Linked DNA regions of Neodiprion lecontei. The protein of the gene in region 1 binds, or shares a complex with, the protein of each later gene. Links are inferred from orthologs where the notes say so. Each region holds a gene or a part of one and is shown on either strand. Other genes may lie near its edges.

Region 1 (10,698 bases):
TGATTTATTTACCGTAGAGTTGGAACTATATCGCAGAAAGACGATCGATATCAAGGCTAACTCGCAAGCATCTGTTTCCTTCATGATTATTCCTAGGGACTTGGGCCATATTGTCATTAAGGCCACTGCGCGCAGTACCTTGGCTGGAGATGGCATCGAGCAGAAACTACTTGTCAAGGTATAACTCGATATTTTATGAATTTTGATTTGAGTTTGTTTTATTCAAAGGTGTGTAAATTTAGGTTTAAGAAATATTATCAAAAATATTTTATTAGAAAATGGTAAAATAAAATCTTTTACATATATTTCCAAGGTTCATTAGCTTTATGGATTTTCAGTCTGAAGGAGAAACTCAGTATCGGAACAAGGCTATATTTGTTGATCTGCGAAACGCAAAAACATTTGAAACCAACTTGACGGTAGATATACCAAGAAATGCTGTAGTGGGCTCTGAGCATGTGGAAATTTCTGCCGTCGGTAAGATATTGCCAGGGATTTGAAGCTTGCGAGAATTGAAAGCAGGTAGAGGAATAAACCGCCCAGCTAACACTACGATCTTTATTCTCAGGGGATATTCTCGGACCCAGTATACCGAATCTGGCGAATTTAATCAAAATGCCATTTGGATGTGGAGAACAGAACATGCTCAACTTTGTCCCCAATATAGTGGTGATTAACTATCTGAAGGTGTGTAATTCTATAATAATATTCCTTATCCATGTTGATATTATTCGTTATTTTTATCTGGACTGTAATTCATTATTATAGAACACCGATCAACTCACGCAAGCAGTTAAAGCAAAAGCACTCAAATATATGGAAATTGGTTACCAGCAAGAGTTGACTTATCGTCACGAGGACGGATCTTTTAGCGCATTTGGAACCTCGGATCACAGTGGCAGCACATGGTGAGTAGCGATATAGCTAACAGACATCTGCCCTGAAACAGGAGTCGCAATCCAATTTGTATTACCAATTTTATTCCGTTGTAGGCTGACCGCATTTGTGGCAAAGTCATTTGCCCAGGCTGCAGAACACATTATGATAGAAGATCGAATTATAAAGGAAGCGCTTCAGTGGCTCACCACCAACCAATCACCAAACGGCAGCTTTCCTGAGGTAGGAAAAGTGAGTCATCGCGACATGCAAGGCGGCGCATCTAAAGGCTTGGCTTTGACTGCATTCACTTTGGTAGCCTTCCTTGAAAATCAGGTAAGATCGATAATGACCGACAGCCTTACCTACTAGAAAAGTTACAAAAAAAAAATTTAACACTGTGTGTTTCACCTGCAGGATTATTTTGAGGAATACAGCAATGTCGTAAACAAGGGAGTCGATTATATTGTGCGGAATCTCGAAGGGCTCGATGATGTATATTCACTTTGTCTCTGCACCTACGTTTTAAACTTAGCCAAGAATCCTTACGAAGACACAGCATTTAATCGATTGGAATCAAAAGCCAAACAAAGCGGGGATTACATGTGGTGGAGTAAACCAATCCCAGAGGACAACAAGAATCCTTGGTATTCGTTACCAAGTTCCGTAGATGTTGAGATGACTTCATATGCATTGCTTACGTACCTCAGACGAAACATGGTCGCCGATTCACTACCCATAATGAAGTGGCTCGTGAGTCAGAGAAACGCAGATGGAGGATTCGCCTCAACACAGGTTCGCGATACGATTTTGCAAGTTGCAATATTTCTCTTTCATCTATCATCGACGTGAAAAATGCTAATTCCAGATACATAGGTCTATAGTTAAACAAAATGAACATGGAATAACTTAGTGTTCATGCAATAAAAAAATGTCTGGTGAGAACTGTGAAAGAGCTATCATCCACTTTCATGGAGAAAACAAGGATTTTTCAAGTCGATAGTACATAGAAAATTGCACATTTCGCTTATTGGATGGCTCACCCTTATTTGCAGGACACGGTAATCGGAATTTATGCGCTATCTAAGTTGAGTGAAAAAATATCATCCAAGAACAGCAACATTGCCATATCGTTTGTCTACGAAGACGGAGGTCAAAGCAATATCAATATCAACCCAGGCAATAATATGATTCTTCAGAAGCATATGGTATATTTTTTGGTCACACCCTTTTTTTACTTGGGAAATATGGGACTAGATTTTTGACCACATCCCATGTCTCGTTTAGTTGCCCAGGAAAACTAGAGAGGTGAACCTGACGGCTACCGGCACTGGATTTGCAATAATTCAAGTATCGTACAGCTACAATCTGAATGTGACCGGTGCATGGCCCCTATTCACCCTCGACCCTCAAGTGGATAAAAATTCAAATGCTAATCACTTGCAGCTTTCAATTTGCTCTGGGTACGACAAAATGTCTGACGTACAATGCCAAAAGTAGCATTAGCAAAACGATAGCCATTAGAGTAAAATTAATTACTTTCACTATCCCCTTCAACCAGATTCGTCCCTACAAAAGAAGCAAACGAAAGCAACATGGCTGTAATGGAAGTCAGTCTACCGTCGGGATTCACTGTCGACATTGACTCCCTCCCGAGCTTGGAAATATCGCAGCATGTTAAACGAGTCGAGACCAAAAATGGAGAAACTATGGTAGTCTTGTATTTTGACAAGGTAAGCGATTTGCAAGTCATTAATTAGGTGAGAAAAAGACGAACGTGCAGAATCTGTATAGTTCAGACCAATGTACTATTATATATATCCATTACAAGAGTATAACTTAGTAAAAAACAATTCGCAGATGATAAGAGAGGAGTATTGCCCGACAGTGTCCGCGTTCAGGACTCACAAGGTTGCCAAACAGAAGCCTGTTCCAGTCTCAATTTATGACTACTACGACTCAAGTAAGACAGCATTTTGCATATATTCTTACTATTATCAGCAATTTGTGGGAGAATATCGCATTCTGAGAGGGAACAACCTACAAAATGCTTAATATATCTGTTTTGAACTTCAGGTCGACGCGCGAGAGTGTTTTATGAACCGCAGAAGGCTACGCTGTGCGATATCTGCGATGGCGAAGATTGCGGTAATGTTTGTGTAGGGGTCTTGGACAATCAGAAAAACGAAAACGACGGTTCGAGGGGGAGTGCGTGCACCATGTACCACCTCTCGTCGCCTGCTCTACTGTTTGTCATTATGTTTGCAAAGTCATCCTTCTACTTCTTCTGATTATTTATCAAGTTGTCCGTACGTTATACAATTCCATTATAATTGTACCTAATACTTTTCAAGATTAAATTATAGCAATTACGATTAAAAATAACCAAAGTAAGTAATATACTATAATACCATGCAATTCGAGATATTCGAATAACTTTTTAAGCCGTCCATTTATCTTTTCGTTTTTGTCACGTACCCAATTGTATATTATATGTATACAATGAGATTAGTATCGGAATTGTTCACAATAAAATCTAACTATATGTTATATTTGTGTTCTCTACTGTGCCTCACAGATTCGTTCCAAATTTGCCGAGTTCTGAATTTTTTCCGTCTTGCGTTACAGAGGTATATTGGTGTTTCAAAAGGTTTGCATTTACAGAAATGAAATATGCCAACATTTTATGTAAGAAATACCAGATAATCGATTGTTTGATTTATTTACCTAATTGCTTCAAGTTTTTATTTTTACAACTCATGATATTATGTCGCCAAGGCCTTTGCGACAGATCCAATAGTGTGTACGGAGTATTCTTTTTTGGAGCGAATAGCAAATATGACTGAAGAGAACTTTGCATATCTACTCTATCTTATCTACCTTTGTTTTGGAGAGTTTCTCTCTGATGTAAGAAACTAGTTTATTTTTCTTAGATGGCTTGAGAACAAGCCTCTTTGTTGTTATGTTGTGGAGGGGTCCGAAAGCCAGTGCCACGGCCGTACAAGCCAGACAAATAACATTATAAGGCATACTAAAGTCAGGCGTTGGCAGACTGACAAGTAGAATCTCAGTCCGTAATTGGACCAGGTAACCGTCCCGAGATGCATTGAAACTGCAACCACACAATAATGATGGCTTTAGGTTGTATTATATTTGCTGCATTGACCAATCAGGAAACAGCTTCGGATGTTTCAGAATAACATCCCGTGCTGACCAGTTTAAAAAAAAAAATTACTCAATTTGCCAGGTTTAACATCTCAGTGGCCACCCTAAATGGTAATGCTCTTCTTACCTCCTGGTCCTCGAAGCTTAACGGAATATTGTTCAATAATTGATCGATCATTGTTTCCTTACCTGGATGAAATAGTACTTCCGTCCTGAGGTAGAGCGGTGTAATTTCTCGCAGTTGGGAGAAGAGAGGTTATTATTGCAGGGCCCATGTAGAACCCGTGATTAGCGTCCGGAGGGTATTCTTGCCACTTGAGAAAAAGATAGTCTAATTCTATTGAAAACTCTGTTACAGAACGCGGCGGAAGTCGCAGAACCATTTCGAGGTAGTAAGGACGTTCCCTTTCTCTACCAGGCACGTATCGCTTGATTACTGAAACCACGAGCAAAATTCACGAACCAAGGATTAGAAAAAATTATTTACAGAATGGAGATGGGAACAAACGATACTCGCAGAAATCTAGACATACGAGGCTTGAGTAATTTCCCCTGGCAGGTGATCCTTATGGTATGAGTGTAGACCGGTATGTACCATGGAATGTTCTCCAGGAGCACGACATCCAATGGCTTCCAGTAATTATTATGGAGTTTTGTCACCAGGCCGCCTCTTTCTTGACCATAGCCTGAGAACAGCGTTTTGTCACGAGTTATTCAGATCCTGCTATGTCAAGAACAATGACCGTCCATTTCATAATACTACAGTTTAATAAAGATCAAGTCCATTACAGTATAAACACAGACACACCTACTACATATCTGTTTGCAAAGAGCACCGGTGGAATTTCGACTCCATAAATTTTGGCTTTGCTGTGGACAGCAGCGACATTGAACATCCCGGCATTGGACAAAGATTTAATATCGTACACAGCTATTCTATTTTCTTGTCCTCCTCGTAAGCTGATTAGAGTCTCCGGTGGCTCAGGCACTAGCCGATAAGTTTCAGATGTCTCATTATCGGTTACATCTACATATACACGGCTCAGGGTGGCCAATGGACAAGCGCTTCGGAGTCCAATGCCGAAAAGCTTTCGCACCGACCAGTCCTGCAGGTCAGAAAGTATTGGCCATGTTCATATTATTTTGTGAACCAAAAATTATTTCAGGATTCCAATATCACGTTGGATCCAGCATTTTTAACTTGGTAATTCATAGATAAGGTTCAGTCTATTTCATTTTGTAGGATCAAGAATGATACAAAAGAATAAGATTCAACCAAAATGAGTTTTTCATAAAAATGTGCCTGCTATTCGATGCCATATGTACATACCTGCGAATCAGTTGTCATAGTGTCGTAGACCAATGAAATTGTTTGCCGCAGTTCAATGGTAGTTTGCGTGCATGCTGCATTGGTACATACAGGTCGTACATCAACAGCTATCGAGTGGTAATTAGTGTTATGGATATATGCTGAATTCAAGAGAGTAGCCAATCCTTTCTAAGGGATAAAACTATGTTGAATAGGTTTAAAATTTTTTGTTTATACGAGCAAAGACGAAAATGATAAAATATTGTGATTTCGACGTTAGTTAAATATTGTCAGAGTATTTTTTCTTGTTCATACCTTAGAGTCGCACGGTAGTAATTTTTTAAATGGTGTCAAGTTTTCTGTGCAAACTATTTCTCTTGGCAGCGAAGAATATCGAAGACAGCTAGAGTTTAGCGGTCTTGGAATAGCACCGCTGGGTCGAAAGGTAAAATCAGGTGACAAGCTGTTGGACACATCCACAAAATTGAGCGACGCGCACAGCAAACCCGCAAGAGCATTAGTCAAGCTTTTCCAATTCTCATCGATCCTAAGAGCAAGAATATCGAGTATATTATCATCAAATATGGTACTAATACAAATTTCCCAAGGAAAGGCAATCGATGAAAAGAAGATGAGAACTCTTTGAAATGTCAAGGTTGTTGAGTGATTGTCGTTAGGGTAGATAATAGTAAGTTATTGTACCTTCGGTCGTCGTTGAACCAGGCATAAACCTCGGCGCCAGAACCGGTATCTTGAAGAGGATATCCCCATTTCTCGTAACGCCATAATCCTTCAGTCAAACTGACGTGAAGTTCTCTGACATTGTGCCGGCCGATTATTTCCCCTAACCCACGAGGAAATAGCCGAGAATGTTGGACTGTATACAGAAAGATGTATGCAATTCGATAGATCAATTGCATTCAAGAATAGAGCGATCAAACAAAGAATGAGCAAATAATGAAACAATAGAGTGTCAAACTTAAAGCGAGGTTAAAGTACCAACAAAGTGAGAAAATCTAATTTCAGAACGCTATTCTCTCACGAGCAAGGAAAATACTTCAAATGTTGGGGAATGACAGTGTTTGCGATCGTATTTGTGTATTGGGACAAAAAAAATTCGAAAATTGATCTAGAAGTGCGCAAACCATGGGATTCGGATATCAGTACACCATAACCTCAAAGTGAGTGAAAATCTGGTTATGTTCAGTGTTTGCGTCAATTTTTCGAACTTACTCAAATCATCACCCAAGCACAATAGTGCACGCTATTATTTCCCAAAGATTTTTTTATTCAAGAGGGAAGAAAATTGTAAAATACGATTAACTCATCTGGTCAGCACTCCGACCTCACCTTAGTACCGCCGTTTTCCAGGTTATGACGTTTGGCCATGCATCTACACTGATATAGAAGAACGTATGTACGGATTATACGTAGTACATACAGGTTTCAGTCTCAATGTCAGTCCGCCACAGGGTAGTAAATTGAAAATGTGCGTAGACGTGTCCGCTTGGCAAGGGCTTCAGCATAAGCTCCTCGTTGAAGGCATCATCTACGTCGGAAGTACAGGAAACGAATCCGACATCTCCTATGGCACTCAATATCAACGCCTGTATAAAGTACATCGCAAACGCAGTTCGCATTTTCGCGCACGATTGTAACTGCAATTGGATTACTTTTAAGCAACCCTTCGCCCATTCGCAAATCGAGGTTAAAAACTTTTCGCACTTCGGATATACGGCTATGCGCATAACCTCCACCAGTTAATCGCACTTAAATCGCTCGAATCGTCTTTCCACCAGTCAGGACTCACTGCCGCTGACTAATGACTTGCATACATAATTGTGGAAGTTTATTTCAAAATAATTGTTTTACTGGGTACACTTACACACCCCGCGTACCTCCCTCTGCGTCATTTTCCTTATTAGTTATTAGTATTAGCATAGCCGTAAAATATAGAGCATAGACTGCGCACTCACTGGTACTGCTTGTGGCAGCGCCAAAAAGGAGAGAGAAGGAAACACACGCGGCCGATGTTTTGTCTCTTTCTAAGCATTTGATTGGTCGTTGATCAATTGCTCGGTCATGTCAAATAAACTCCATCCGATTAACAAAAATAATATCATCTAAATAAATGTACAATAAATATGCACCTGGTTTACGGTTAACAGCGTTAGAAACCTTTTCTTGATGCAAAGGATGGGAGCCAGAATCAAAGAAGTTAATCAAAGGATGGAGATATATATTTATTCCTATATGTACCGTATGTAATTTATGTACATACCTATGTTTACTACTTAACTCGTGTATCTTCAGTCAACGCTCATATCTTCGTTCCCAAAGAAAATACAGCTGACATATAAAAATAAGCTCTTAACTGACGTTAGATTTCCGTGTTTTTTTTAAATACAGTGTATTTGCAGAGGAAAACCCAGACCTTTCTACACAAAAATACTACTTGTAAATATTTTTTGTAAATTAGGTAGGACTCGATTGTTATTAATGTTTGAATCTATGCTGTAACAAACCCTAATGAACTTCAGGCAATCATTATCACAAAAGCAATTGAAAAAAATTTAAAGAAGATCAAGGTTCCTTTTTTCAACTTCTACTCATATTATTTGGTTAGATTGCGACTCTGCCCGCTAACCCCCAAACACAAGATTGTTCAAAAATTTATTATCAAGTGCCCTGATTATAATTACTCATATCTGTTCACTTTATTATAAATTTACGGCAGTGCCTGTGTTGATTGTTAGGAATTTCGAGTTTGAGAGAATATGTATTCCTGATTACTTATGCGTAAAACGTTTAGTTATTGATGCATCATTTTTTTCGCATTTTACGAATGTATCCTCTGAAAGTGCGGCCTTCACAGTTTCCTAGGCAAGTATCTGCGGGGTATAAGAAAATTATGTATAGCATACTCGTATTATGTATTATCTTACTCAGTACAACCTTTTGTACACACTATTTTATTCACAATTACATTGTAAGTAACAATAATTCAATAATCACCCGTTGAAAATCTTTCCCACTCAGAGTCATATTTTTTATTTTAACTGATTTGTGATTTGTGTTCTTGACGCATCATTTCCTTTCAGTCGGAAGTAATAAATTTATATGCATAATGTGACAACACATTTTTGTGGTTTTTCATTGAGTCTAAAACCAATTAATAATATTATAAAATGCATTTTCATTGAGTCTAAAACCAATTAATAATATTATAAAATGCAAGTTATCATATTAGTTGCCTTTCTGTTTATATATGTGAAAGTAATGAGGTTTTGAAAAATGTATTTAACAGTAGATTTGGTTAAGTAATCTAGAAATCAACCAAGTATACAAATTTGTCATAAAAATTTAAAAACATTTTTCTACAATATAGATTCAAAAGCGAAGATGGCAGTTAATTTCTAACTGTATTCCATTTGGAACAATAGGTTTTTCATACAGATTACCGGTATCTTGAACGTACAAAATTTCAACACGGTCCTTTTTGTCATTTTTAGTAGCCGGTTTTGAATGAGCTTCGTTTTTTTATTCTTGATCGTTTGTCGCGGAAGACGTGCTCATTTGGTATGGAAATATTGTGTTTTATTGTAACGACTTGTATCAACTGCAAAAGGTGAATTTGGGGAGAAAAATGCTGGAATTACCATACTCTAAATTGCCAAAGGTATGTGCACCTTGTTGACTTTAATTAAGAAACGAAATTTATCAAAAGAAAAAGGTATTTACGTGGAATTCACTGACTAAACTAGAGAAATCCGAAGGTATTACGATTCCACACGCGTTACACATTGTCGAAGCATGAGTTGTATTGACAATGAGTTAAATTTACGCAAGAATAAAATTTTCATTTGAAAAACTACAATATATTAATATTTGACCAGTGAAAATAAGTTCACTTATGCTCATTTCCACACCACCGCAAGCGGTAGAGCACCCGGCGCGTTTTTTTTTTACGTGGTATCCCCAGTAGGCCTACTCCACGGAGAATACTTGCAAGATCGATCTTACGTTCTTAGAAAAATTGAAGATAACGTTTTTTCACATGTTAATTATGGTACATTGTTTTCCCCAGTCAATTTGTACTCGCCTATATTTGCAGTTTGTTAGAAATTTTTCAGTTCATATAACCCGCTAACTAATTATTATCGATGAAAGATGACTGTTATAATTATGGATGAAAGATGATTGTTTTAGTTATAGATGAAGGGTGATTGTTTTTATCTTATAAGTGAACGGTGATTGACTTTGGATATTCGCGCACAAGTTTTTTTTCTTATGAGGTATGAGATAATCACTAAAGTGGAGAACATGGTGAATACGCAAAACAATCAAAAAGTAAACCAAGATCGAAAACACGAATCGCTGTAAGACATTGGCATTTACCTATCGGAAGACGATGCAAAAATCCTTGAAGAAATGGAAACAAATCGGAGTAGAATAAGCACAACCACCAAAATACGACAGAGCTGTATAATTCTACAGTGAAGTACCAAACCGAACATGACCTATGAGCGACTCGAGAAAAAAAACTCCGACACTAAACAATCGCAATTAAAGACTAAAACCATGAAAGAAACTACAGTTGAATAAATTTTACCAGACTTTGTGATCATGATGATTCTTAACCACATCACTAAATCTATGCGTCGGTGAAAACAAGATGAGTAATCCTGAATCAGACTCGAACCAGACCTAAGCCTAAAAAATAATTCGTTAATTTTTCAGTATAGTAAATGAAACTCAGTTACCTGCAACAGATGACAATATAATTCGTGACATATGTCGATACAGACAAAAATATACTTCGCTCAGATAAGTAAAATATATAATTAACGAAAAAGAGACAAATTAATTAGTTAAAAGAAACAGAAGGTTTGATTGACTGAAACAAACAAAAGGTTTGATTGGCTGAAACAGATAAAAAGTTTGATTAGCTGAAACAGACAAAAGGTTTGGTTAGCTAAAACAGACAAAAGGTTTGGTTAGCTAAAACAGACAAAAGGTTTGGTTAGCTAAAACAGACAAAAGGTTTGATTAACTGAAACAGACAAAACGTTTGATTAGCTAAAAGAGATAGACAGTTTGATTAGCTGAAACAGAAAAAGGTTTGGTTAGCTGAAACAGACAAAAGGTTTGATTAACTGAAACAGAAAAAGGTTTGAATAGCTGAAACAGACAAAAGGTTTTATTAACTGAAACAGACTAAAAGTTTGATTAGCTGAAACAGACAAAAGGTTTGATTATCTGAAAAAGACAGAAAGTTTGATTAGCTGAAAGAGAAAAAGGGTTGATTAGCTGAAACAGACAAAAGGTTTGATTAACTGAAACAGACA
Region 2 (9,525 bases), on another chromosome or scaffold:
TCACCCAATCAATTTTGCATTAACAAAATGTTTGATTTTTTTATCGTAGCGTTTCTCTAAGCAGACATATACATTCTCAACTATGAAATTCAAGGTCATTCTCAATGAAACACTGTTAGCAGAAGAATAGATTTTTAACAATTTCTGTTTCCACACTTGGTCAGGGTTATCTTTGGGGATTATTTCCACAGATCGACACATTCAGATCAACACCTTTGATATGCATCATATACTGCATATCAAAGGTGTTCATTTGAATGTCAAAATCAATATACAATATATATGACATGCATCATATATTCATATAACATCGGCATACTGATTATAGCCGATAAGATATGATTTTATCAGCTATTGTCCAGTTTCTCCATGCTCTACTCGCAGTTGAAGAATTGACCAATCGACCCAGCCATTCACAGCGGATGTCAATCAATTCCTCTATACGTAAGTTGACTTCAGATTTGTAAATTCTGATCCCTTATTGTTAGTGGACAAAAAAGGGCCAAACAGCAAGCTATATACCTACTTCCTTCTTACAGCAAGAAGAGAATTCGGAATGAATACCGAAAAAGGACAAAACTAATACGACGATGCTGCAGTCGCGAACAAGTTCTTGTGAATGCAAAAAAATTTGACCTAATTCACTGTATTAAAAATTAATCGACGTGCTATGCGTTGACACACTTCACCTTGGCCTCAAGTTCGACATGATTGCGTTACATTCAAATATCCAATCACCGAACGAAGAAATTCAGTTGACTCGATTATTTATAAACTGATATCGTAGCGACGTCAGAAGGTGGGGCGATACGAGAAAGGACTCATGTTTCAGATCTGGCGATTTATTCGTTTTTTTACTTTCGACCATTTGTTGTCGCTTACGGAATTCAACCTTGATACACCTCCCCACTGACTTTGACCGCATCGGCACGCAGATTACTGGATTCACGAGGTTTAAATCAGTATAAAGAAGCAAAAGATTGATACGGGATATGGTGTACGAAAATAAGAAAAGACTTGCACGCTACATATTCACGAATTGTTGATTCATGGCTATTTGCAGCAAGTAATACCCACGAAATTTATATGACATATTGTTCATACAGATAAACACAAATCATTTTTCCTAAATCTTTCCCAAAACATACCCAAGCAGCAAGTCAGATTACCGTACAAACAGCTATTTCAAGAATTTTGTTTTATTCTAAAGACGCTGTATGATGGGATTGTTCTCAATGTTGCCTACAATATACGTATGAGATTACACTTTCTGTAAATTCTCATTTTGTTTGCTACTTATTGTGTAACTTGATCTTACGTATCCAGAGCCTGCTTATCATCAAACCTCTGCTTTTATGTAACAGTATAACATCAAGCGACATCAGTGATTCGGGAAACCGTCACTCGATGATCACCCCACGTACTATCAATAGTGTCACTATGAAACCACTGATCGCCTACTTCTTCAGAGTTACTATTATCTATTCGGAAACAATCCCCACCACTTGAACGACCAACTTTAATTTAAACACAAACACCTCAAAATCAAACGCTTCCAAAATATTCACAAGTCGGTTAACTGTACCGGGAAAAGTTGAGGGAACCGCAATAGCGATCGCAGCCTGCGTCTTAACTTGGATTGAATCAATCTTTGATTTCTTCGAGCAATCAAATGTTCGGTTTCATATGAACTGGCACGTCGTCATTGCAACGACTACGTCCTTGTCGTTAAATGGGGATGGATTGAACAAGCTCGTTGTCAACGTACGATTGGAGGATGAGATATTTTTTTCATTTTACCGCAATGTAAGATATTGTGTAATCTATATAAGTTAATATTCTGATTGCGAAAATTCTGATTTGCGATAAAATGCGTGATAAAATGTCTGAGCCCTGCTCGAACGATGCAGTGGCTAATTGTAACTTCTGGTCGAAATGGCAGGATGTGTGGATTGTTACTTGAATATCTTAACATAATAGTTTTCTGAAAATGGTCCTCACAAAAATTAATCTCTTCTCATCTCTACAAAGGTATATATAAGTATAAAATTCAATGTCTTTCTGACTGTCTCTTCGGATGTTATCTTATAACTCCAGAACTGCTGAACCGATATTAATTCTTTTTTTTTTCTTTGTACAGCTACGGCGTCTGCTCGGGTTTTATAGGCCATATTTCGTTACAAACAGATCAATAGTTTTGAAGATATAAGGGATATTTGTAAGCCAAGTCAGGACAGGCTATTACACTTATGCGAACGCTGACTAAACTCTTACAGATAGAGGACAGTTATGCTGAGGAGTTTTCAATGTTTCGACAGGCTAATTTTCACTTCATGAAACTGACCATTAGGTATCGAGTTTTATAAAGTTCAAGAACAGCGAGGTTTCTAACCAATGATTCCACTTTTTTGGCGATGGCTATGTATACTAAGTTCCAGCTGAAAACCGGTTGGTTTGCGGTTGGCTGCAGTTTTTTCTTCAAGGTATCATTACTGAATCAATACTCTTTAGCCGTTTATATTTTGTCTTACAAGCTGAACGTGTTGTTTTATATATCAGAACATGCCGTTATTCAGAGAATGCATGAACATTTTGTCCCAAGCCTAAAGTGAGGGCATCAGTTTAGCCCTATAACCAATCAAGCATAATCAAATATTTTCGTGGAAAATTTAATTCGCTGCGTAGTACAACCGAAGATGCAGAGCATTTTGTGCCCGTCCAATCTGCGAAGAGGCATCCGTATAATATCTACTTATGTAATATATCGCTAATAGCCTATTAGTATATATTGTAGTTAATCGAAGTAATTCTTTGTACAAATTGCAATTAGTAGAATACTGGAGATGATAGATTGGACGTCCGTCTTCTTGATAAACGATTCGTCTGACATGCGAGAGATTCATGCACAATTTTTCCTTCGCATTATCAATCTTTGCATCGTATTTTATTTATCATGTGCATATATTCTTCGAACTATGTTAATGGTATACGTGAACAAGCGGCATTACTTCGCTTCAACCGCTGTATCATAATTATCTTACGTGTCGCATGCTCAAAAAAACACCTATTCCGATTGATGCACTTAACATTGCGAGTAATTATCTTCGACGAATTGAAGAATCGAATTTCATGTAGCTTCTATCATTTATGTGTCTAAAGTGTACTGCGAATGTGGATTGTCAATTGATTTTATGCTGATGCCATATTAAACTTAAGATTTGTAAAACGATACTTTGCATATCTCAGAAAAAGTTACAAGGCCGACTATTTATTCCCAAGGACAAATCATCGCACAAATGAGTGCCCATACATTATCCACTTAGTACGCACCGTGCAGCATGTTACGACTTCATTTACGTTGTCGGATAAAACGCAATATTTTTACCACATCCGGAATTTGATTACGATATGCATCAAAAACAACTTGCCTAAATGTAGTTAACCACATTCAATTTCTGTTATTGAACTTACTAACTTCAATAAAAATTCATTTCACGTATCAAAGCGGCGTACTTTTATAAAACGCAGATCAGTGCAATTACTTTGTCAATGCAGCTTGTGAACTATTTATCAGAATGTAGATTTCTCAATTGAACTATCAATGATCTGTAATCAGCAATGGTGAGTATGTTTTGAATAAGATATTGTAGCTATTGCGTTTACATCAAACAGCAATACGCGTTATTTTCGGTTTTCCTGTTTTATCACCACTTAACGATCATTGATTGCGTCATTATTGGTGGCAACGTCTGTATCGTAGTCGTTAAACATTAAAATATTCACTTCTCGGTGAGATCGCATAATTAAATAATTGGTATGAAGACTACACAGCGAAGTTAGATACTCTGTCTAGGTCTAAAGTATATTTTCTCGCGAATCGCAAACAGAATATCCGTTTTCCTAGAATGGTACGTGTGGACATTGATATCCATTAGATTTGAATATAACTGCGGATTTCTATTATAATATGTTAAAAGACATCTTTACAGTTAATTGAACCATAACTCCGATGTGATTGACTTTGTTCCATACTATTAAAAAAAAAATATTCGTTTCGATCTGACATTCTTAGCAAATAATACGTTCACCGAAAATATTATTATATACCGTTTATGCTTGCGTTCGTTTTTCGCAATATGAATGCAATTACACCGAGTGAATTAAATAGTGCGTTGACAACATCACATGACGCATTATAACGTAAAAGTGCAATTGAGCTGCGACGAATCGAACCTTATTACATCAAGCGTTGTATATTCTGCAGTCAACGCACCAAGGCTTAATGCCGCGTTCAGATTATATCACTCAGTCGGTACGTTTATTTGAGCTACAAGGTTTCACGGGCGACAACTTATCGATAAAGCAGACGTGATAGGCGCTGTCTTGAGATTTAATGATCTGAACGTATCATAAAATTTATATTATAAAACTTCGTAATGTGACATCCTAAAATGGCAATTAGCAATATTTCGAGGTGTTTTCATTTTGCACCACGGATGTGTTATAGGCAGACCTTTATAGGTATATCAGTGTTAGCACCAGTGAATGTGTGCCAACTCTTAGAATAAAAAGTCACCAAGTGCAGTCTGCTTACCTCTGCTTCATCAGTGGGTAACTAGGTTTACGGTGTTGTTGAGTGTTGTGTTAGGTTGTGTATTCGCATGATGGACTAGTCAATTGTACGTGAATCTAAGGAAAACACTCATTTAAGTATTTCTGGGCATAAATTAGAGCTCCTGAATATCTGCATTTCTATTTTAACGATAATTAACAAGTCAAAAAATGCCCAGCTCTATCAATCAATTAGTTAAAATCTGATTACATACATTTATAGGTTATCTGTACACCGCTCCAAGTCGAAATCTATTCATTGAAGCTTTGATAACAATGAGTGATAATTCGGGATCCGTAGGATACGATACGCCTTCAGATGGTAAGATCATGCGTCTCATTTTCACCCTGCTTGTGAGAATTACTCGCTCTATAATTAATTGTACGGATATGGAACGTACCCTCAGCATAATTCAACTCCGATATAATCGCTCGACGGGCTTATTCTATTGCTCTGCTACTGGCACCTAGAGCAGATTACAAACATGCAGAAAGCGTCGATGTCGAAAAAGTATTCGAGTCGGAGAGAGAACGGAACGTAATAAGACTAGATGCTCTTTCTTTCTACGTGTGCATTAGACAAAGAAAGGAACTAGTCTTACTACTTTCCTTTCTATGCCATTTTCCACTTACACGAAAGTGTATACCAGGAATTCTCCATTTCTCTATGCCCTAAGCATTGACACTATATAACCGCAATGCCTAAAATTCTAATTACCTAGTGACTGCTGAGATGGCGCCAATTAAAGAAAATTGTAATAGTTCTCCAGGTCACTCCAACATATTAGCACTGTTGTAATTATATATAGAGCAGGCACATTTGATCAGATTGAACTAAACACAGTACTATAAAAACTATGGAACAGAAGAATTTTTTCAAACTCATGCAACAGTTTACGGAAGCAGAAATAATTCTTACCAGTAATTTATGACTCCAATGCAACTCCACTTCGGTCACATGTTCACACCAATAATGATATTCTTCATAATATAGTGTTCACTTTTTTTCATTCACGGTAGAGTGGGTTATCTTGCATTAGGAAGGAAACTGTAACAAGTGAAAAAAATCTAGTACAAAATATTCTTTTTTTTAGTCTCTGTACTGAATAGTATATTATTACTGCATCATTAAATGAGATTAATGTAAAATTACTTGTAGCCTTCATCTGACAATATTAATAGCTGGGCAGGCAGAATTGTGAATTGTGAAATCAAATACTTGCATTTTTTAGACAACCACATACATAAGCACCGAGTACACAGGTGCACTTTACTATTTCCATTAGACAGAAGTAGCTGTTGCTAGACGGTTAACATTTATTCAATTTCATGATTTCTTGAACCTGAAACTTGAGTAATACCTGCAAACTAGTCTGTATACCAGCTTGTAACGCAAATCATTCACCTGGATTTCATTTCATTCTTTCAGTCTGCATCTGCCATTGATTGGAATAGTGGAAAATCCTATTCTACAACTTTTCTGAACGCATTGAACTGAGTCAACAAATTATTAGCATGTTATAAAAAAAAAAACAATTTCAAGTATGAAAGAAAAGGCGTTGGTCTTTAAAATATTTACGAATTAAATTTTCTTCTTAATATCAATCCCTTTTTGTTCAGTTTATACGCAATAAATGATGATTGGCCTTTGTCCTTTGCTTTGATAATTTATTCTAATCATTTCGTTCTTACAATCTTTTTAAATCATGGTCTGGTAAGTTTCAATACTTATTATTTTCATTCAAAAATTTCTTAAATTTATTTTCTACCTGTTGTGACGAATACTAAAACTGTTATCTTTTTGTCATACGAGTGTCAAAATGAAGCTATTACACACGAAGTCGAACGTCTAACTTAAATTTTTTTCAACGTTCGGTTACGTTACCGTTAAGAACTACATTGTACGTGATTTATATTAGGAAACCTTTCTCGGTTCTTTCACAATCGAAAAGTATATCATATAAATACCCTATAAACTGTGATGGGCGATTCGAAACTATAGTAGAGTTTCATGGAACGAAGAATTTAGTCTTTCTGGTGCAGACAAACATCTTGCGTATATGTACCTGCACTAATCTAGAGTTCGACACGTATAAAAGGTGATAAACGCTACGTGTTTCCTACCCCAGTAGTTGGATTTATTTTAAGTGGATGTAGAAATACTTATTTCTAATTAGATACATTACGTCTACCAAAAAAGCTTCTGCAATATTACATTTAATGTTTGCTTTAAGCTTTTTAGGTGCTTTGACATCCCAATTTACTCCTCCCTTTTTGAACAGATGTATTTCAAATCTAATCCAGAGACCGGTCAGGACAAGTCCGATCAGGTATTGAATACATAAATGTATTATCCTGGGGTTCCACGCTTAATGGAGTGAAGTAAAAGTAATATATTGTGAACATGCACTGCGTACCTTCATACAACCGGAATTGTATATGTCATTCATGACTGTAATCGGATATTAGATATTGAAGTTGGCGCTATGGTCTTACTAACTACATTAACTTGCTTTAAAATTCTAATTTGGATATACAAACAGGATAAACAAATTACGAGGCTGTCGAACTAGATCGTTGAACCATACAATTTGCTTATGCAAACTTTTTGATGAAAACATAACGCAACGCGTCCCGACTTGGCTCACTGAGCGTGCGCGACAGAATAATCAGGTATTAACGTTTGTCAGAAAACTTAAATAGTCACAACAGTCGTCAGTCTACTCAAGCTTTTATGCAAAAAAAAGTAATGTCTACCGTGTTTGTCCTCGACGACAGTTACGATTCTGCCCAAGATGGGAATTCGTTGGCGTTGAAAATTACATTTCCCCAGGTCGGAAATGAAACAGTTACCACAATCAGCGTGATTAGAGTTGGTCCAATACCAGCTACTATGAAATCTTTGGTTTTTATATGCCCGGCAGCACTTACAATAGCATTTGGCGGTGTTCCAACTGGTAAGTGGAACGAAAACGAGCAACAAAAAGTAGCTGGTAGCATCAGATATAACGGATGCAGCTTTATCGCTACACACTGTAAACATGAAAAAGAAACGATTGTTTATCAAGCTTAAAGTTTAACCTGAGATAGAATTAAATGTTAGTGAGTTACGTCATAATCTCATTCATCGGCAATAACTTTCCAGAGTCCTGATAAATCGGTAGTGTTTTAAGACTGAAAAATAGAAAGTTTCGTCACGATTCTTCACTTACCAATTCGGCAACTACAGGTAACACAATGTTGGCAATAGCAACGTTGGCGGTAAACTCTGTAACCGTTTGAATTATGAGACAAATCACAAATAAAGTAGCTACTGGGGGTAGAGACTCCAAGCCAGATAATGCGTTCCCTAGTAAATCCGAGAGTCCCGAGGAGGTACTTCCCTGGGATATTGCAAAACCACCGCCAAGAACGAACAGCAAACCCCAATGCATTTTTGTTTGAATTAGTTTCCAAGTTATTAAACCCTGACTTGACTTTGTCGGATATTTGCTTGAATCCTTACTGAATGCATTGAGAAACTCCAATTTTGATGGAAGTATAAACATGAGGATTATGACTAACATTGCTGCGGTAGAATCTTTAACAGACCTGTAGTATGAAATTAAAGGAAACATTACTCACGTAATACTTATAATAGAATATCAAGTATACGTAGCTGTATCAAAATACAAGGAAATGTGAGTTTCTGATTTTTAGAAATTTCCTACGGCACTTACATCTCCGTGATATAATCGGGCCACCCTGTAACAAATCCGGGATTCCTGAAGAACCACAAAAGAATTACGAAAACGAATAAAACGGCAACAGATAATTCGTGCCACGTGATCGGCCCTAGGTCTCTGTATTTTTGTTCGATAATTCTTTTCGCAACTTTTTCACCCTCTGGACCAATATTTATTGCCTGAGAGTCTTTGCTGTTTGGTCTAAACATTCCCATGTACATTACTTGCAGCCACAACCAGACTAAGAATCCGGAAACAAGCATAGGCGGAATCGCGTAACACATCCAATCAGAAAAATTGATTCCGGGGCTGTCTGGAAAACGGCTACAAACAAAATAGTTTTCCAATGAAACCTTGAATATTCACAAGGTTGAAGTTAGTTACGTGATAGCAACGAAACATCTGGAAGAAAATGCTCTATTTTGCAACTTTAGAACGACTTTGAAAAATGCAAATTTATAAAATATGACCATGCCTCGCTTGCTTTACTACGGTTCACTGAATTTCAGACAGTTATAAATTTGCAACAAACAATTTTCCTCAATAACAACTGTTAAAATAACGCTACTGACTTCAACCTGATGAGAATTCGCATTTGGCAATATAACATCAATGGAATAAGTTTCACTTACGATTCATAAATTCCTTTAAGCGTTAAATTGGAACCAGTGGCCACCATGGTACCGATACCACCGATGCTAGATGCATAAGCCGCGATGAAATAGTAAGTCATCGTAGCATTCGTCGGTTTTTTTGCGCTGAACATGATTTTAATTAAATCCATTAATCGTTTATTAATTACTATAGTATTTGAAAAATCTTATTGATACGGCTATTACTGAAAACTACTCACGGTTGACCGTCTTCATTGCCTTCGGTATCATTTGCGTCTTCGATAAACATTTTTCCCAAACCTTGCTACATTAGGTAAAAGTAGTTGAATTAGAATTTCATACGGATATCAGTTACTTATCGATATAACAACAACATCAATCTGTACTTACAGATTCTAATTCCATTAGTACAGTTTCAATAATTGGAACCATCATGGCCGTAGTTGCAGTGTTTGAAATCCACAACGAAATGAACATAGTGACCAGAAAAATACCAAGAGTTAATCTTGAAAAAGTGAAATTGATTTAACTATAAAAAACATGGAAAATCAAATAATTGAAAGAGGTAATATATG
Region 3 (9,864 bases), on another chromosome or scaffold:
TTTGGTGTGAGAAATCGATTGGGCGCAGTCCGAATACGATACGAGCAACGCATCAATAGATGCAGCCAAAAAATCAAAGACTCTGCATCGTCATTTTTTTGCTGCTGATCTTTCCTGCGTATCTTTTCTGCCGTTGGTCCGACGCTCTTTTTGGTGTGTTTTTTGCGATCCTAGGGGTCCAATTAGTCGAGAGAGGGTCATACAAATCGATTCTGGGACAAAAGATTTTTTGCCCAAAAAAAAAGTAAGGCTAACCCCTTTGCTTTTTCGGCGAAAATTTTCGGGATTTTGAAAAGTGCTGAAATGAGATCTTTGTGGCACTATTCCGACGATATTTGGTGTGAGAAATCGATTGGGCGCAGTCCGAATAGGATACGAGCAACGCATCAATAGATGCAGCCAAAAAATCAAAGACTCTGCATCGTCATTTTTTTGCTGCTGATCTTTCCTGCGTATCTTTTCTGCCGTTGGTTCTACGGTCTTTGCGCTGCGTTTTCTGCGATCCTGAGGGACCAATTAGTCGGATAAGGGTCATACAAATCGGTTCTGGGACAAAAGATTTGTTGCCCAAAAAAAAAGTAAGGCTAACCCCTTTGCTTTTTCGGCGAAAATTTTCGCGATTTTGAAAAGTGCTGGAATAAATTATTTATGGCACTATTCCGACGTAATTTTGCGAAAGAAATCGATTGGGCGCAGTCCGAATAGGATACGAGCAACGCATCAATAGATGCAGCCAAAAAATCAAAGACTCTGCATCGTCATTTTTTTGCTGCTGATCTTTCCTGCGTATCTTTCCTGCCGTTGGTCCGACGCTCTTTTTGGTGTGTTTTCTGCGATCCTAGGGGTCCAATTAGTCGAGAGAGGGTCTTACAAATCGATTCTGGGACAAAAGATTTCTTGGCCAAAAAAAAAGTAAGGCTAACCCCTCTGCATTTTTGGCTCAAAATATTCGTGATTTTGAAAAGAGCTGGAATAAATTCTTTCATGCACTATTCCGACGTAATTTTGCGAGAGGAATCGATTGGGCGCCGTCCGAACGCTCCTCCGAACAATGGATGATGAGTGGCCGAAAACCGTGGAGATTTTCTAGTATTTCTTGAGCTGGTCTAATTCTGTTTTAGATATCCTCTTTGCATTTCTAAGGGTCCAATTAGTCCTAATGAGTCGTACAAATTGATTCCAGGTGGCAAAATTCCTGAGTTTCAAAGGAAGCAACAAAAAGCAAGGCTTTTTCCCTTTCAGCAATGGATGAAGAGGATGGCCAGACATGAAATTTGCGCAGGGTGTTAGAAAAGGTGGAGAAAAAAAATCAGAGAAAACAAATTTATAGCTATTAAGTGTCAGCTGTTTATTCAATATGCCTTACTTCTAGTACAAATATTTATGAATCAATGAATATAGTTACTTAACAAGTTACGTAATAGTATAAAAATATAAGACAATAAAAAATGTAAAAGTATGATCGAACATTGTATAATAATTTTGATTATTATAACAGGATAAAAAAGTGCAATACCTTATCTCAAGCAGAATATGAAAAATATTGTATCAGATTGTCATTATCGTAGCTAGTAAATTATATTTTTACTATTTCATGTAACGGAATTGAAATAAATAAATAATTGAATTTTCTCATATTCTGTTCTCATTTTGACAACTGTTGGTCCCACGACGGTTAGAACGCCATTTTGGAATCCTAGAAGTCCGATTAGTCTAGAAAGAATCGTATAAATGGGTGGGAGTCAAAACTTGGAAAAGTCAATACTTCGAATGGCCAATATATAGAAATTTCAACCACGTGAAAATAAAATAACGAATGATGAATTGTTCAAAATCTTGATTTTTGCATGTTTGAAATCTCAGTATATCCACCATTCGAAATATTGACTCTTCCAAGTTTTTACCACCACCCAAGTATATATAGATTCAGAGATGAAAAGTCTTTTGCCAAAAAACTCGTAAAAAATGTAAGCCTAACCCCTTTAACCCCATTAAAAAGCCCTTTGAATTTTTGCTGAAAGTTTAGATGATTTTCAAAGATATTGGATCACTTTGATGCACTATATCGGCGTAATTTTGCTGTAGGAATCCATTGCTCACAGTCCGTACACGCTGCAAGCTACGGATGAAAAGTTACAACAAAAAAATGAAAGATTGTCTTCGTAATTTCCGTGCTGTTGGTCCAATGCTCTTCTTGCTATATTTTCTGCGTTTCTGGGGTTCTACATAGTCTAGAATTGTGTCAAGCAAATCAATTCTGAATCTGAAAATATTATGCTCAAAAAAGTACAGCTAATTCCTGTGAATTTGCGGTGAAACTTGTGACGATTTTGCTTTCCTATAGAGCAGAGCGTGCCGAGAGAGATAACGATGATTATATTAGGATTGTTTCTTATTCGATGGATTTGAGACAAAGATTTATAGTTGTAGGTGACTGTAGATTGAAGGTGGGGATGACTCAAGGTCACCGCAAAGTGGCGCACTCGAGATGAGTTTGTGCTCGTCTAGTTAGGGCATGTTTCAGTGGCTAGAGAGTAGAGACTAGAGAGCAAGAAGGATAGAAGACATTGAATGAAGAACTTGCCGGATTGTAACCTCAAACAGAAATTTGCGATTCGCCCTGTGAATAGTAATCAATATAATTGATAGTCAAGCACGAATGTTGCGCTGAAACGGACGATTGAACATCGGAATTGATTGGTGATAGCACACGCCAGGTGAAATTTGCAAAATTCTGAAAATAGGACCCAGCTATGTTCGGACGTGTGATACCAAAAAACTTTCGTAACATATCGGTACGTAAAAAATTTAATTTGCAGCATTGGCTCATCGAAAATCTTCAAAACTTCAATGTATAAACAAGCTAAGAAACGCCTTGTACTTCCATGCCTTCGACGAACCTTGATGGAAAACTGCTTATTTAATTACTGCAAACTTGTAATCAACTCCTCAAAATTTTCCAATATCCTCTCCAACCATTTATCGAAATCTCTCTGTTCCGACGCCTCCATGCTAAGACTGCTAGTACAAGCACGTCATTTGAATTAGAGAAAAATGAATAAAGCGAAAGTGTTCCAGCTTCTGTCACGAGTTTGGAGTGGACCGAACGGAGCACTAGCCGGCAAGCAAGCTGAACAGAAGATGGTCACTATTCTCAGAGATAAGTTTCCCAAAGCGAGCCTCATTGAAGTTACAGATGTATCTGGTGGGTATCTACCAATGAATCTGATTTACAATCACAGAAATTATTATTACATTGTTATTGTACATGTTTTCTACTGTTTAATAACATAGTTTCGCTAAAAGAGGATAATATATTATGCTGCACACACAAAAATAATATTAGAGTGTCGAATGTTACCTTGCAAAATTAACCAATGTACTATTAATGTATATAAATTAACAATGTAACTATTATTTTCCTGATTCACATAGGAGGGTGTGGCGCGATGTTTGAAGTAAATGTGGTTGCCCCAGAATTCAGAGGACTCAACACAGTTAAGCAGCATCGGGTTATCAATGAAGTATGAACTCATTTGATTACTACTTTGCAATATTCAGCAATTATAATAGTTATTAATATTTGACGTGTGCAAATTCAGTATAATCCTTGTGTTTCATGTTTGCTTATAGATTCTGAAGGAAGAAATTAAAAACATGCATGGTATTCGTATACATACAAGTGCTCAGGACACCTAGACTTTTTATATCAAAAGTGCTTCAAATTTATGAAATGAAAAATACAGCGACATGTATTTGGATATAGTTAACTGGATTTGGAATCAGTTGGAATTGCGTATATTTATACATATGTCACGAAGTTTAACGCATTCGAATTACTTGCGAGAGTGCATTTCTCGCGAAAAAATAAAAGGGTTAGCCTTCCTTTTTTGCGATTTTTAGAGTAATTTACCTCAGGTTCGACTTACAGGACCCTTTTCTCACTCGTTGGTTCCTAAGGAATTCAATAAAGATATCTAGAAAGTACGAAGACCAGCAGCTAATTGTAAGCAAATACGAAGAAAAACCGACGAAATCCATCTAAAATCATCTTCCCGCTCTATCTTTTAATCCATTATTCCTAACTATAAACTATTCGCATTCGTTTTCTTTTTCAGATTTTTTTTAAATCTGCACAATTTTGTAGAGGAAAATGCAACGAGGTTAGTTGACTTTAGTCTAGTTTATTAATTCTTGTGGGTTTTACAATTTGATTTTCGTCTTATTTGGTACGTTACCTCCAGACCCGGCAAACCATTACGAAAAAGAACTGGCCTAGCTAGCACCCATAGTAAATAGGTATATCTGTGGCCAAAGTGGGCAAACCTTGTACTAAAAGCTGATCAAATCTCAACACTTCGGCCTATCGTCGTTGCTGTCGTCAGCACTATTAGACGCTGTGAGTCGACCCTATAGCTGTGGTATATAGTTTGAGCAAATTGCATCGAGCTCCATTTATACAAGACGATATTCTCTATGGCTCTATTGCGGCTTAATGTTTATGTGCATTAATAGCGGCTCAGGTTATGAAAAATGAAGGCTAAAAATGTCCGTTTGATAGAGTTGCTAAATAATGAATTAAACTTTTTAACAGTAGATTGAAACTGATAAACGTCAAGTGTTGTAAGACGTACAGGTTAGGGTGTGGTTGCCACCAATTATAATGAGTACTACTCAAAAATTTGTATTTTTCGCTTTGGCGGCAACGATAAGGTTGCTATTAATATATTCCGAATATCAAAAGATCATCGCTGACAGAGTCGAAGTATCCACAGCACTTAACTCATGGAAAAAAGGTGAGCGTTTCCAATGTTTTTGCTGTCTTTTGCTCACTAAGTATGATCGTTCTTATATTGTTACCAGTTACCGAGGGAGTCTACCTACGAGAAGCTGGTATCGATCCTTACACCGGTGATCTGTTTCATGAAAGTCCCATAGGCCTTGTCGTCTTCAGTTATATGCAAAAGTACTTGTCATTGTGTATGTTATGTGGCATATTTGTCTTCACGGATTTGGCCACGGCATGGATTTTGGGTGCGACTGCTTATCGTTACACGAGTGAACTAGTGAGTTGATTCAATAATGATAATAGGATCTATTTTATAATGAAGTAGAAGACGAGACTGCAAATGTACTACATCTACTAAAACATAGCCATAAACCAACATTCAACCAATTTCCTGTAGATTGCCACCGAACAAAAAGACATCCAGAAACGCAAAAAGGAATCCAATGACGAAGAATTATCAACTTTACCTTCATCAATGTCAATACCAGCATCCAGTGTTACGTCTTCCGCTTTACTCGTACCTTCAGCTTACCTTTTCAACCCATACGTAGTTTTTAATTGTGTAGGATTAACCACAACCGTTTTTACGAACTTTCTGCTATCCGCGGCTCTATATTCTATGATAAACAAATCGAGATTATGTAGTTGTTTCACTATAGCTGTTTTAACATTGCAAGGACTTTATCCCATTACTCTTATGGTACCTGCCACAATATACTTGGCGCGAAACGAAGAAGGTAAAAATAAAAATTTCCCCTACGGAAATATTAATAAGACAATAGCGATGTTCATTGGTATTCTCATTGCGTTATATTACCTCTCCTACAAAGTATCAGGGAGCTGGTCATTTTTGCACAGTACAATTGGTTTCATTTTAACAGTACCTGATCTGCGGCCAAACATCGGCCTGTACTGGTACTTCTTCACAGAAATGTTTGAACACTTTAGGTGGCTATTTGTTGCATCATTTCAAATAAACGTAGGCCTGCTCTACGTTGCTCCTCTCGCGCTACGATTTCGCCGCGATCCTATGCTCCTGGCCTTCTCGTATCTCGCAATCGCGGCTATTTTCAAATCGTACCCATGTTTAGGAGAAGTAGGATTTTATATGGCTCTACTACCAATGTGGAAGCATCTCTTTCCGCGTAAGTCAATAATCTACTATTACTGTCTCGTAATTATTTATCCCTTCATATTTGTCCCAATTTATGTATATTTTTCCGAAACTAATGCGTCAATTTTATTTTCTCCAGATATGCAGCAAGGATTCATTGTCAGCTGCTTCCTTTTGTCCTGCACAGTGTTTGCTCCAACAGTTTGGCACCTGTGGATTTATTCACGATCAGCAAATGCGAACTTTTACTTCGGTGTCACGCTAGCCTTTGCTATCGCCCAAATATTTTTAGTTACCGATGTTCTCTTTGCCAGCGTCAAACGAGAATTTTCTTTGCGACACGGGTTGTCGAGAGAAATCCACGGAAATACTGGCAAACTTTTACTCGAATAAACTCCATTGGATGTATTCTTACACATACATTCCGTGTCCAGATTGTAATGCCGATTGGAGGTGAAAAATCGGGACGCACTCTAAAGAAGATGGAACTAAACATATAAGCATTCATTTGAAAATTGAATGCGTAACGTCAATTACGACGTTCACAAGTTTTAGTTGAGAATTCACAATGAATTTATTGCGGCGAAAATATCCCCTCTGCTTGGGTAACAACAAAATCCAGTGTCATGATTCACGAACGATTAAAAATATAATTCACCAACATTAGCGCAACAAATTATTATTTCTTTCCTTCCCGCCAAATCCATACTTTGCGTCACTCCTCTGTGTATCAACAACGCGCATAATAAGCAGTGGTTCACAGTTGGAACTCCAAGGTGGTATATCCCCACTTTAGTCAAAGATTAAAAATTACTCTCACGTAACGTTGGCGGGTGAAATTTTAATATCAATGTATAATCTGCGATCCATTGAAGATGAGGAACATTCTGAACACAAGCATGTGTGAGTTAAAGTTCAAGTAAAATTTTATCTGTATTCATACCTAAATCCCAGCCTTTAGTAATTAGATTAATTAATAAAAGAAAAAACATTATCAAGACGGTAACGGAAAACCTGATACACGCAACGCACGTTCTTGCGTAAATATTGCCCGGCTACCTGATATTCCGTAGACATAAAGCAGCTTCTTCGAATCACTTTCTCCGTACGCGTGGGTATACGTATAGTTATGCATGCCATTTCGTCATGCGCTTGAGTTTTTTTTTCATGAAGTATATGCATACGAAACGGATTTTCCCACTTGTATATTACAGCAATTTGCTATGAACATTTCATCCGCATATTACAAATAATTTCGAAACTTCCGACTGCCCGAGCATCCTTTTCCGCAACTCTGATAAGGCAATTTGTCCTCACGGGAGCACTTTGTTTTTTCAGTTAGCGAAGTTACTTGGACAGGGAAAATGTTGCGGAGTTCACGGTTATAGAGATACGAAGAAGAGCTCGATATAAAAGTTCCAAAATTTTCAAAAAAAGCTTCGACTGTAATCTATGATTGAATTTTCATTGTTCTACAGTTTGAAAATTATGAAGATACCGCGCTTCGTTTCTGCACTCGCATTCTTTTGGCTGCTATGTCTACATGAATACAAAGTCGTTCTTAACTCCATGTAATAGTTCCGTGTACGCATATCTGCTGATATTTCGGTATGTTATTTTTGCTTAAACGTCTTATATACGAACACCACAATATGAAAATACAATATAGAACGACAGTGCGTTTCAGACGGTGCAGCAAGTTTTCAATTACGCAACTCTGCAGAAGTATCAGAGTATGTTGAAGTGGCTATGCAACTAATATACTTCAACATTTAAAGGGCCGAAATGTCCCCAAAAGGAGCCAGCAGGTAATTCGGCAACTCGACAGGTCGTGTTGAATATTTGTATACATAATTTATGCCTTTAAGAAATATCGTATTCCAAGGTAAAAATGTCGGTCCTCTAAAAGTTAATCAATCGTACCTCGTAGTAAAAATTATATCATGATTTTTAAATATTGTGATCCAGTCACCGAGTGTGACGGACGTCATTTTCATCGATAAGTAAATGATGTTGACTGTATTATTATTCTTACTGTGAATCACTTTTGGAAAAAAATAATTTGTTTCTTGGTAAAATAATAATAATAACAATAACAGTAGTAATACAAATAATGTATAAGCAAATTATTAAAATGTCACGTCGTAAAAACGGTACAACTTCGTAAACTCTCACAAAACGTATACGGAGGTGAAAATAGTCGCGAAAGAGAAATTCGTCGGCCCTTAAAAAAAGGGTACGAGTCTGTGCTATGTGGCTACGGCATTTCCGTAATAATTTGCGGTTTTGCGTGATTTTTAGTCTGTTACATCGAGCATCGCGCGTACCATGCTCCCGGTTCGTGGAAGATATGGATATCTGCAGTCTTCGAAACAACAAAAAGGAGAAAAGTGGTGAAAAAGTTGAATCCGCGATGCAGCGGTGGAACGAACACTGGCTGCAGTATCTTACTATGCCGCCTTCCTCACCTCCACCCGACCCAGACGTCGTCGTACTCGTCGTATCATATAAAAGGGGGCCCCCGCAGAAATATCGCACTTGGGTGCCTCCACTTTGGTTAGAGTCAACGCAGCGCGTCAAAATTGTAGATTTCGCAACCGCGTATCCCACGTTTTCTGTTTTACGTCTGTGATCTAGTCACGCTTCATTCGAATAGTAGCGTAACTAGTCGCGGTTTGAATTATACTGTTTATGGTCGGCGATTACGCGACAAAATGAAGGGGGGCGTGATTTTTTTAACTTTATTTACGTTCGTCTTCGCTAATAATTATTCAAGCAAATACGACAACGTAGACGTCGACAGAATCCTAAGCAATGATCGTATTCTCACCAATTATATACGCTGCTTGATGGAAGAAGGACCCTGCACTGCGGAAGGTCGGGAATTGAAAAGTAAGTTGAAATTCAAATTCTTCAATCATGCATTTTCGCTATGATTTCAGCATTTCTTTTCCAATTGTAGTACATTGCGTACGATACGTATATTGTTGAAATCTATCCTTAGTATCTTGTATTGATGTGCTCTTTACTTTCCACCCGTCGCCAAAATCGGTATCATTCAAGTTCGATAAACGGAAACAGTAAACACAGCAGTTTTCTTCTCGGCCTTATATATAGAGCACCGCATTGCATATGACATTGCAACAGAGTTCAACATACTCTCAGTCAGTCCGGTTACATAAGATCAATTGTAACTTTCACGATTGGCCGTTGCACTCGATCTACTCGATCGAAAACCTACAGTCAACTCGTATGCGGTGTGAAATTATTAAGCAACAATACGCATAATTCGTACATATATTACTTGCCAAAATACTCAGAGATGCAGAATTCGAAATTGAAATGTTATAGATATGTTATTTTCAGTATCTCGTTGTGACTTCCATGATTTGTATTACAGAAAAATCTAATGATGCGGAACCCGACATTTTCATAGATCTACAGCTCGAATTAAACTCTGAAATAAGATTTCAAATTATGTGACCCATGCCCCGACAGTCCGCATAACGTTGATCAGATATTTCAGACTTTAATGATGCTAAGCATATGAATGCGTATATTGTAACCTATCGCACGTAAGAAGAATGAATTAACCGAATAAGAATAAATAATTCGAGAAGCTTAATTACTGAGCACAGTATTTCGTGCCAATGATTAAAATGGCTGTGGATACAACGTGCGTAATAAATATATGACGTGCGAAAACTTTTAATGCGATTTATTGCCGGCTGAACTCTGTCAGGCTAAAGAAGGCAGTACGTGTCCGTTCAATTCGGTATTGATAATGGATTCTATTGTTATAACTTTTTATTACATCGTTTCGAGCAGAAGAATTTTTTCGGTAACAGGCGTGATTATTAAATTCAGTGGCCCAAGCTGCAGTAATACATTTATAAATTTACGCAACTAGCACATATCGGACTGTTGGTGGCATGAATATTGTTGCTTTTGACAGTATTTA

What was found.
Region 2: the proteins of GPI transamidase component PIG-T (region 1) and GPI transamidase component PIG-S are in contact, whole or in part, in a cryo-EM structure (PDB 8IMY), measured with the Homo sapiens proteins. The link is inferred for Neodiprion lecontei from reciprocal best matches to the Homo sapiens genes PIGT and PIGS. Residues at the interface, in NP_057021.2 of Homo sapiens: Pro26, Arg27, Val63, Ser64, His65, Tyr66, Arg67, Lys71, Gln75, Lys79, Tyr80, Val133, Gly136, Lys191, Leu193, Pro194, Cys195, Ser196, Lys198, Ala199, Glu270, Pro271, Pro273, Leu274, Tyr526, Ile529, Cys530, Cys533, Val536, Ala537; in NP_149975.1 of Homo sapiens: Thr9, Glu12, Val13, Gly16, Ala19, Ala20, Phe23, Thr230, Pro238, Lys239, Tyr244, Ile247, Glu248, Val251, Gln256, Val270, Asp271, Ser272, Gln273, Ile274, Tyr276, Tyr277, Met279, Ser309, Arg310, Ser313, Ser314, Ala315, Ala316, Phe513.
Region 3: the proteins of GPI transamidase component PIG-T (region 1) and phosphatidylinositol glycan anchor biosynthesis class U protein are in contact, whole or in part, in a cryo-EM structure (PDB 8IMX), measured with the Homo sapiens proteins. The link is inferred for Neodiprion lecontei from reciprocal best matches to the Homo sapiens genes PIGT and PIGU. Residues at the interface, in NP_057021.2 of Homo sapiens: Tyr361, Gly362, Leu363, Gln364, Lys365, Arg394, Leu395, Tyr396, Val397, His398, Tyr416, Pro418, Ala419, Gln420, Asp421, Arg422, Gln445, Glu447, Leu450, Leu451, Lys452, Trp453, Thr454, Pro518, Thr519, Pro520, Asp521, Phe522, Ser523, Met524; in NP_536724.1 of Homo sapiens: Glu30, Lys42, Arg43, Val45, Glu46, Ser49, Leu50, Leu53, Val55, Ser59, Gly60, Ala61, Val62, Pro265, Asp266, Leu267, Pro269, Leu273, Trp275, Tyr276, Phe277, Phe278, Ala279, Glu280, Met281, Phe282, Glu283, Phe289, Phe293, Asn296.

The regions. Positions count from the first base shown.
Region 1 is NC_060264.1:23,624,124-23,634,821, reverse strand, and holds GPI transamidase component PIG-T, read right to left. Parts: upstream 7,257-10,698; 5' UTR 7,099-7,256; coding exon 6,792-7,098; intron 6,228-6,791; coding exon 6,053-6,227; intron 5,898-6,052; coding exon 5,666-5,897; intron 5,540-5,665; coding exon 5,372-5,539; intron 5,148-5,371; coding exon 4,850-5,147; intron 4,728-4,849; coding exon 4,575-4,727; intron 4,478-4,574; coding exon 4,231-4,477; intron 3,989-4,230; coding exon 3,739-3,988; 3' UTR 3,559-3,738; downstream 1-3,558. Other genes in the region: CD109 antigen, read left to right, coding at 18-178, 339-477, 569-687, 769-908, 993-1,212, 1,294-1,671, 1,932-2,084, 2,164-2,339 and 3 more. UniProt on the Homo sapiens protein: Component of the glycosylphosphatidylinositol-anchor (GPI-anchor) transamidase (GPI-T) complex that catalyzes the formation of the linkage between a proprotein and a GPI-anchor and participates in GPI anchored protein biosynthesis.
Region 2 is NC_060262.1:30,732,655-30,742,179, forward strand, and holds the start of GPI transamidase component PIG-S, read left to right. Parts: upstream 1-4,309; 5' UTR 4,310-4,679; intron 4,680-4,834; 5' UTR 4,835-4,887; coding exon 4,888-4,933; intron 4,934-6,099; exon of another isoform or gene 6,100-7,389; coding exon of another isoform or gene 7,390-7,644; intron 7,645-7,823; coding exon of another isoform or gene 7,824-8,202; intron 8,203-8,330; coding exon of another isoform or gene 8,331-8,660; intron 8,661-8,968; coding exon of another isoform or gene 8,969-9,094; intron 9,095-9,189; coding exon of another isoform or gene 9,190-9,254; intron 9,255-9,340; coding exon of another isoform or gene 9,341-9,455; intron 9,456-9,525. Other genes in the region: protein I'm not dead yet-like, read right to left, coding at 7,390-7,644, 7,824-8,202, 8,331-8,660, 8,969-9,094, 9,190-9,254, 9,341-9,455. UniProt on the Homo sapiens protein: Component of the glycosylphosphatidylinositol-anchor (GPI-anchor) transamidase (GPI-T) complex that catalyzes the formation of the linkage between a proprotein and a GPI-anchor and participates in GPI anchored protein biosynthesis.
Region 3 is NC_060260.1:40,145,188-40,155,051, reverse strand, and holds phosphatidylinositol glycan anchor biosynthesis class U protein, read left to right. Parts: upstream 1-3,435; 5' UTR 3,436-3,524; intron 3,525-3,602; 5' UTR 3,603-4,663; coding exon 4,664-4,796; intron 4,797-4,863; coding exon 4,864-5,066; intron 5,067-5,186; coding exon 5,187-5,934; intron 5,935-6,042; coding exon 6,043-6,296; 3' UTR 6,297-6,569; downstream 6,570-9,864. Other genes in the region: uncharacterized protein LOC124293564, read left to right, coding at 7,689-7,711, 8,205-8,535; ejaculatory bulb-specific protein 3, read left to right, coding at 8,618-8,795. UniProt on the Homo sapiens protein: Component of the glycosylphosphatidylinositol-anchor (GPI-anchor) transamidase (GPI-T) complex that catalyzes the formation of the linkage between a proprotein and a GPI-anchor and participates in GPI anchored protein biosynthesis.